2 linked regions of the Macaca fascicularis genome follow. The protein of the gene in region 2 purifies or fractionates together with the protein of the main gene of each other region. This does not show direct contact. Links are inferred from orthologs where the notes say so. Each region holds a gene or a part of one and is shown on either strand. Other genes may lie near its edges.

The links. The genes of interacting proteins can lie anywhere in the genome.
Region 1: the proteins of AXIN1 (region 2) and CSNK1A1 purify together in Homo sapiens (co-immunoprecipitation; 4 studies listed by BioGRID and IntAct, with this or other methods). This does not show direct contact. The link is inferred for Macaca fascicularis from reciprocal best matches to the Homo sapiens genes AXIN1 and CSNK1A1.

The regions. Positions count from the first base shown.
Region 1 is NC_088380.1:156,431,317-156,435,449, forward strand, and holds the start of CSNK1A1 (casein kinase I), read right to left. Parts: upstream 2,801-4,133; 5' UTR 2,329-2,800; coding exon 2,206-2,328; intron 1,535-2,205; coding exon 1,428-1,534; intron 1-1,427.
Region 2 is NC_088394.1:1,047,697-1,051,196, forward strand, and holds part of AXIN1 (axin-1), read right to left. Parts: coding exon 3,329-3,500; intron 2,922-3,328; coding exon 2,751-2,921; intron 1-2,750. UniProt on the Homo sapiens protein: Component of the beta-catenin destruction complex required for regulating CTNNB1 levels through phosphorylation and ubiquitination, and modulating Wnt-signaling.

The DNA.
Region 1 (4,133 bases), on a different chromosome or scaffold from region 2:
GTTCGAGTACAGCCTGGCCAACATGGTGAAACTAAAATACAAAAATTAGCTGGGTGTGGTGGCGGGCGCCTGTAATCCCAGCTACTCAGGAGGCTGAGGCACTAGAATCGCTTGAACCCAGGAGGCAGAGGTTGCAGTGAGCCAAGATCGTGCCATTCACTGCACTCCAGCCTGATCGACAAGAGCGAAAACTCAGTCTCAAAAAAAAAAAAAGAGAGTCTCCAGCAAACAGTAAACACCATTCTCACCTATTCTGAATATTTTTGCAAAAGGTATTTTAGATTGTTGCTGAAAAATAGCTTGGTTTTAAACTATATTTTAGTCTCCATTCCATGAAGAGGCTCTTTAATCCCAAAAGTTAAAACATTACTCTAAAACCCTCCAAAGTAAAGTTAACCATTTGACAGAACAATGTCTTTCTATCTCGTCATCTTTTATCCGCGTTACTGCAATTTGCACTCACCAATATTCCACACCAACAAAGGCCGCAATTTCTCTGATATTAAGATTTACTGCCAAACTCAACAGGTTAAAATTACTTATCAAAGTGTGGCTAAGTGATTAAGATTTCTTTTAATACAATTGATTTGAGTAAATTTTAACATAGTTGGTGCTGCTCAAACTGCCTTTGCCATTACCTATACAAATTTAGTCCCGACTGAAATGTGCCAAATATGACCATTCACGAAAGGAAAGAGTAATTAACACTTTTAAAAGAACCACAAAGGATTTTACATAGTATAATTCAACAATTTCATGTCACATCTGCTGCAGAGATCACAAACATTGTCACTATGCCATCTCCTTCCTCGAACCCCCACACCGCCTCCTGCAGCTTTATTCTTGGCTTTTCAAAGGTTTAATCCACTCGGGGCTGCTAAAGGAGGAATCAAGGAAGCATAATTTGTGAACCCAAGCTGAGAAAAGGGCAGGAATATGGGGTTGAGTCACGTCGTTCCGCCATTTTCTAAGCGGAGGAGGAAGACATGTTGGAACAAAAACACAACAAAAGAGCAGCCATTTCCCAAGCCAGCTCCAATAGCAACTCGAACTGACACCGCCGGGTCGCTTCAGCACCTTCAAATCCACTTCACTGGACAAACCTAAGAACATCAGACGTGCCGCCGTAAAAAAGGCAGCAGCCAACCCTTCCGCGTAGGGATCAAAGATGACCCGCACGCATAACTGCAAACGAAAGCCTCGGGAAGAGAATGACGGAAGCGAAATGGAGCAGTGTAATACAATGAAATAAGTTGGCAAATTGAAATTTACTCAGTGATTGCGATGACTTACAGGAAGGCACCAGCTACAAGGAACCCAGGTAACCAAAACAAGACCCGGATTCAGCTGGTCTCATTACCTGCCTCTACCCACTTCCCCATTCCGTGCTTCCCTCAGCGGATCGCCTACATGCACGGGGTTCTTACCGTATGTGGGGGATGCCAACCCCACCTTGAAGAATCTTATAGAGCTTGCTCTCGTACAGCAACTGGGGATGCCTGGCCTTCTGAGATTCTAGCTTCACTGCCACTTCCTGCAGGGGAAAGAGGGGATGATGGCATCAACATCCCTACGGATTCAGTGTCATTTAGGAAAGGAGAGAGACATTAGCAAAACTCCAAGTCGCGACTACAAGGAAGAAGTGAAAAGCTGGAAAGAGAAAGCTCTCTGTAATTATAAAACGAGGCAACCAGCCTCAAAGGCCTCTTCAGGGGGTAGTGACGAAATCGTACGTCCTCTAAAGTGCAGGAAAATGATTCATCCAGAAAAAAGAGGCAACCTCTGAACGTAGTGAGAGGTTTTTAAGGAACTAGGCGATCGGAAACTGTTCTAATTGGAACAAGAGGCCCAGCAGGATTAAAAATTAAATAAAAGAAAAGAAAAGCAAAGCATGGGAATCACAGAAAGAGGATTTTGCCGTTTCCACCTTAAAAGTCGGTTAAAAAAAAAACAGCTCGACCAAGGGACATTTATGGGAAGTGTTTAACAAGCTGGGAAACTAGTTCCCCCACCCTTTTCTATCGGGTTCTTGACCCTTTTAGGGAGAGAGCGGGCGAGGATCGCAAGCCAGGAAAACTAGCTCCCTGGACTCCCTGGCGAGTGCGTGCGGTGAGGAGAGGCCCGAGCACTTTGGGGGTGCGCGGTGGTGGTGGGGGGAATGAGGAAAAGCGCAGCGTTATCGTGAACCCCACCCCAGGTGATTACCTCGCCGTTGGTGATGTTGATCGCCAGATAGATGTCCCCGAAGGAGCCAGACCCGATCTTCCGTACCAGTTTATATTTCCCTCCGACAATGAATTCGGCCTTAGAGCCGCTGCTACTCGCCATCCTGAGAGACGAAGATGGAGTCTGGGGCCAAGCCCCGACACCTCTGGGAAGACGACGGAGGCCTCTGGGGCTCCTACACTGGGCAAGGCTACGGAGGAAGGCGGCAGGAAACAGAACACGGAGGCCTTTACCGGCGTTCGGGGCCCAGAATCAGCCGAGGGGAACCTGATCACCGCCGCTCAGTCAGGTTTCTTTTTGCCAGGCCGCAGTTTGTGAAGGGCTTCTCGCGGTTACCAGGCTGGGCCACTTGTTTCTCGGCGGCCGCCGCTGCCTCGCTTGCGCGGCGACGTCGCGGGCTGGAAAAGGGGCGCGGTGAGCTAGGGCGGCGATACAGCTACCACCACTGCCGCCGGCTCCGGCCCTGAGGGACCCCTGTCACTCCGCCGACGCCGCCATCTTGTTACTCCAGCTCCAGCCAACACAAAATGCCCCCAGTCCCCGGGAGCCGCTTCTTCACGGCGCAGAGCACTCTGGGAAAGGGATCTGGGGCGCTCGCTCCGAAGGATCGGCAGCTAGAGGGCGGAACCGGATCCGTGAGAGTCGCGGCCCACGCTCCGAGCGTCACCCTGTCACCGCCCAGTAGCGCATGAGCGCTGCAACTCCTGCTGACTGCGCAGGCGTGCCGCGGCCTGCCTCACCCCGCCCCGGGCTTTCTTCCACTTCCGGTCGGCGGCGGCTCAGCCGGTGTTACCTGTTACTCGCCTCGGACCCGCAGGGTCTCTGGAAGGCTGAGTGGCCCCAGGCCTCGATGTTGGGAGGAGTCACCTTCATGTTTCGTGTCAGGCCTCCTTAGGAGTTGGGTATTGACCTTTGCTCTTTGAGGCGGTTTTTAACCTTTGATCTTTCTTCTGGCCGCTCCCCAGGACCGGCCTATTCCAACCCAGTTTCTGTTTGGAAAGAGGCTATCGCCTCTGGTGGAGAGGAAGAGAAAAGCAGCCCGCGTTGAGGAATCGTTCAGGGCTCTCGGTTATAGCAAAACCTAGCTAATTACCCTTCATAATTAGAATTTTCTTCTCTACTACGGAGTGTTATAGACCCTCTTTCCACAGGAGGGGAAAAAAGAAAGAAGCCGGAATCCCCCTGCCGTCCTACGTCTTTGCATTATTGCCTCACTACCACTTTTGATCTTCAGAAGAAAACCCAGTATCTTGTTCATAGTGAAGATTAGGGATAGATGGAATCAACAGAAAATTAATTTAACAAGAGTGAAAAAACTGTTATGCCCCCCAACCCCACCAAAACAACAACAAAGAATCGTATGTTGGTCATGTTGAAAACCGCAGTATTAACCTGAACAGAGTAGAGGTAACTATTACAAAATTTAATTGACAACATTTAAAGCTACACGGAAATTTTTTTCTTTTTTACTAAAAATCGATCAGAGAATCAAATCTTGACCACGTTTTGTATTACAAAATTTGACCTGGGAAAATTGGGTTGAGTAATAGTAATGTTCACAAAAGAAAGCTCCATGGTTTATGCTATCATCTTAAGTCAGACCTCAGTCGTAAACATTTAAGCTAAGCCTATCTTAAATAAAATTTAATTAAAATAGAAATGAGGGCTGGGCGCAGTGGCTCACGCCTGTAATCCCACCACTTTGGGAGGCCGGGGCGGGCAGATGACTTGAGGTCAGTTGTTCGAGACCAGCCTGGCCAACATGGCGAAACCCCGTATCTACTAAAAATACAAAAATTAGCTGGGTGTGATGACGTACACTTGTAACCCCAGCTACTCGGAAGCGGAGGTTGCGGTGAGACTAGATCACGCTACTGCACTCCAGCCTGGGCAACAGAGAGACCCTC
Region 2 (3,500 bases):
ACAAACAAAAAAACTGGCCAGGCACGGTAATCCCAGCACGTTGGGAGGCCGAGGCGGGTGGATCACCTGAGGTCAGGAGTTCAGGACCAGCCTGCCCAACATGGTGAAACCCTGTTTCTACAAAAATACCAAGTTTACTGGGCATGATGTTGGGCGCCTGTAATCCCAGCTACTCGGGAGGCTTAGGCAGGAGAATCGTTTGAACCGGGGAGGTGGAGGGTGCAGTGAGTTGAGACCGGCCTATTGTACTCCAGCCTGAGCAACAGGAGCAAAACTCCATCTCAAGAAACAAAAAAGGCTGAGCGCAGTGGCTCACGCATGTAATCCCAGCACTTTGGGAGGCCGAATCACAAGGTCAAGAGATGGAGACATCCTAGCCAACATGGTGAAACCCCATCTCTACTAAAAATACAAAAATTAGCCGGGCGTGGTAGTGCACGTGCTGTAGTCCCAGCTACTTGAGAGGCTAAAGCAGGAGAATCGCCTGAACCCAGGAAGCGGAGGTTGCAGTGAGCCGAGGTTGTGCCACTGCACTACAGCCTGAGCAACACAGTGCAACTCTGTCTCAAAAAAAAAAAAAATCCTTTCATGGTGACTTTTTTCTTTTTTTGAGACGGAGTTTTGCTCTTGTTGCCCAGGCTGGAGTGCGGTGGCGTGATTTCGGCTCACTGCAATCTCCGCCTCCCGGGTTCAAGCGATTCTACTGCCTCAGCCTCCCTAGTAGCTGTGATTACTGGCAACCGCCACCACACATGGCTAACTTTTTGTATTTTTTTTTAGTAGAGATGGGGTTTTGCATCCATTAACATTTGCATCCATTTAACAGCTTTACTGGGATATAAATTATATACTAATCCTAGGGGCCGAGGCTGCAGTGAACTGTGTAATTGCACCATTGCACTTCAGCCAGGGTGACAGAGAGACTCTGTCTCAAAAAATAACAAAAAAAAGTCTTAATGAATAAAAATTATAAATATGTTTCAAAGTAGAACGTATTAATACTTATCCTAAAATATGGGACATGCAGTATTTAGTATATACAGCTATATAAAAAAAGGATTCGGATGGGCGCAGTGGTTCATGCCTGTAATCCCAGCACTCTGGGAGGCCGAGGCGGGTGGATCACCAGAGGTCGGGAGTTCGAGATCAGCCTAACATGGTCACCCCCTCCGCTGTCTCTACTAAAAATACAAAAATCAGCCGGGCGTGGTGGCACACACCTGTAATCCCAGCTACTCAGGAGGCTGAGGCAAGAGAATCGCTGGAACCCGGGAGGGGGAGGCTGCAGTTAGCCAAGACTGCACCACTGCACTCCAGCCCAGGGGGCAGAGCTAGACTCTGTCTCAAAAAAACAAAAACAACAACAACAAAAAAAAACGCCAGGCGCGGTGTCTCACGCCTGTAATCCCAGCACTTTGGGAGGCCAAAGCAGGCGGATCATGAGGTCAGGAGATCGAGACCATCCTGGCTAACACGGTGAAACCCCGTCTCTACTAAAAATACAAAAAATTAGCTGGGCGTGTGGTGGGCACCTGTAATCCCAGCTACTCGGGAGGCTGAAGCAGAAGAATGGCGTGAACCCAGGAGGCAGAGCTTGCAGTGAGCTGAGATTGCACCACTGCACTCCAGCCTGGGCGACAGAGCGAGACTCCGTCTCAAAAAAAAAAAGATTCGAAGGCCAGGAGTGGTGACTCTCATGCCTGTAATCCCAGCATTTTGGGAGGCCAAGGTGGGAGGATCGCTTGAGACCCACCTGGGCAACACACTGAGACCCCTATCTCTACAAAAAATGAGCCAGGCATGGTGCTGTGCACCTCCGTTCCCTCAGGAGTCCCAGAAAAACGACGAGCCCGTCCCCATCCCAGTCAGCACCGATGGGGACCCCAAGGCCTCGTGGGACGGGCTTCCAACACAGGCAGAAGCACCGCGCCCCAGGCGCTCAGCTGCCTCAAAAGTTCTCACCAAGTAATGTGGAGGGAGGTGCACCCTGGCTAGGGTCTGGGTGTGGGGGGGCAGATGAGGATCTAAGACCGAGAAAGCTGGGGCCACCTACCCACCAGGGCTGACACTTCCCAGCTGACCTGCCTCTGACCACGACGGGAAAATGGGGGGCACCACCTCTGTGGGGCCCCTGGCCCTCCTGCTGGGTTCTGGGCACAAGTGCAGGCCAAGGAGGCGAGCAGGGGCAACACCAAGACCAGCCCGGCGGGCAGCGGCAGGGGCTGGACCTGTGGTGCCAGGGCCTTGCTCCACACCTATACGAGGCCTCTGCCCTGCTGGGAGGAGAGTAGTGCTCAGGCTACACAAGAGCCTTTCCCAGCCCTCAGCAGGATGGCCAGGTGTGAGCACAGAAGGCTTCTCCATGGGTGCCCTGGGAGTGATGGCCAGCGGTGGCCTTCCCAGGTGACTTAGGTCATTCTCATGTGGGGGTCAGACTGGAAATGACCTCCCGAGAGCATCTGTGCTACCTGTGGGGTGACAGCCACGTTGGCTTCCCTCCCGCTCAGGGCTTCAGGGACAGTCTCTCTCTGGGGACACGAGATTTTCCTCCTGGAGACGTTAGGCCTCTCTCCCAGGCCCAGGGAGCCTGCTGGAGGATGCCCAGGAGAGTGCCCCAGTGAGAGGGGAAGTGTGAGGCATCAGAGGCGACACTCGCCGCACACACTGAAGCCGCACACACTGAAACTGTGCGGAGGCCAGAAGCGGCAAAGCAGGCCCCACGAGGCTGGCTGTGTGTGGGGGGTGCTCACCCGTGGCCGGTCCTGCGGTGCCTGCTGATCTCCTTCTCCCCCTCAATGATCCACTGCATGATCTTCTGGTTCTTCTCTGCATCCTCCGAGGCACCTGGCATCTCAGCGCTGGCGCTCTTCCCTGACTCGGCCTTCTTGGCATTTCTTTTGCACGCCATGCCCGCCTTCCCACTGCAAAGGCAACAGCAAGAGTGGCGAGTCGCCCTGGCCTCCCGTGGCTGAGGCTGTGCCCCCACCCGGCCTCTGTAAGGCTCCCGCGGCACAGCAGCTGCCTGCTGGCTGTCCTGGTGCTGCCCAGGGTGTTTCCTCTTTAAACACACAGGCGGTCACTGCTCATCCCTGAAGACTGAGGGTCAGTGGGAGCCAGGGTCGGGCTGTGGCCCCTGATCTTCATCTCCCACCTGAGGTCACGGCGTGGACTCCCCTGACCCGGGGCCCAGCCCACTCCCTCCAGCAGAGAGGGCTCCTGCCTGTTGCTGGTGGTCCTGGATTTCCTGAGTTTTACAGGGAGGTTCTGGCCTTCAACAGGGACACAGCCTCACCCCGAGCCCCCTCCTCACTGACAGGCACCTGCTCACCTGTGGGCCAGGCCATCGCTAGCGTTGGGGGCAGCGCCCACACTCTCTGAGTAGCCTCGGGACTTTGCCCCATGGCTGTGTGGTTCCGGACCCCACGCGAAGCTGCTCTGGGCCCTGCGGGCAGCCTCGGCCTCCACCTGCTCCTTGGGTCGGGCTGTGCTGTGGTGGACGT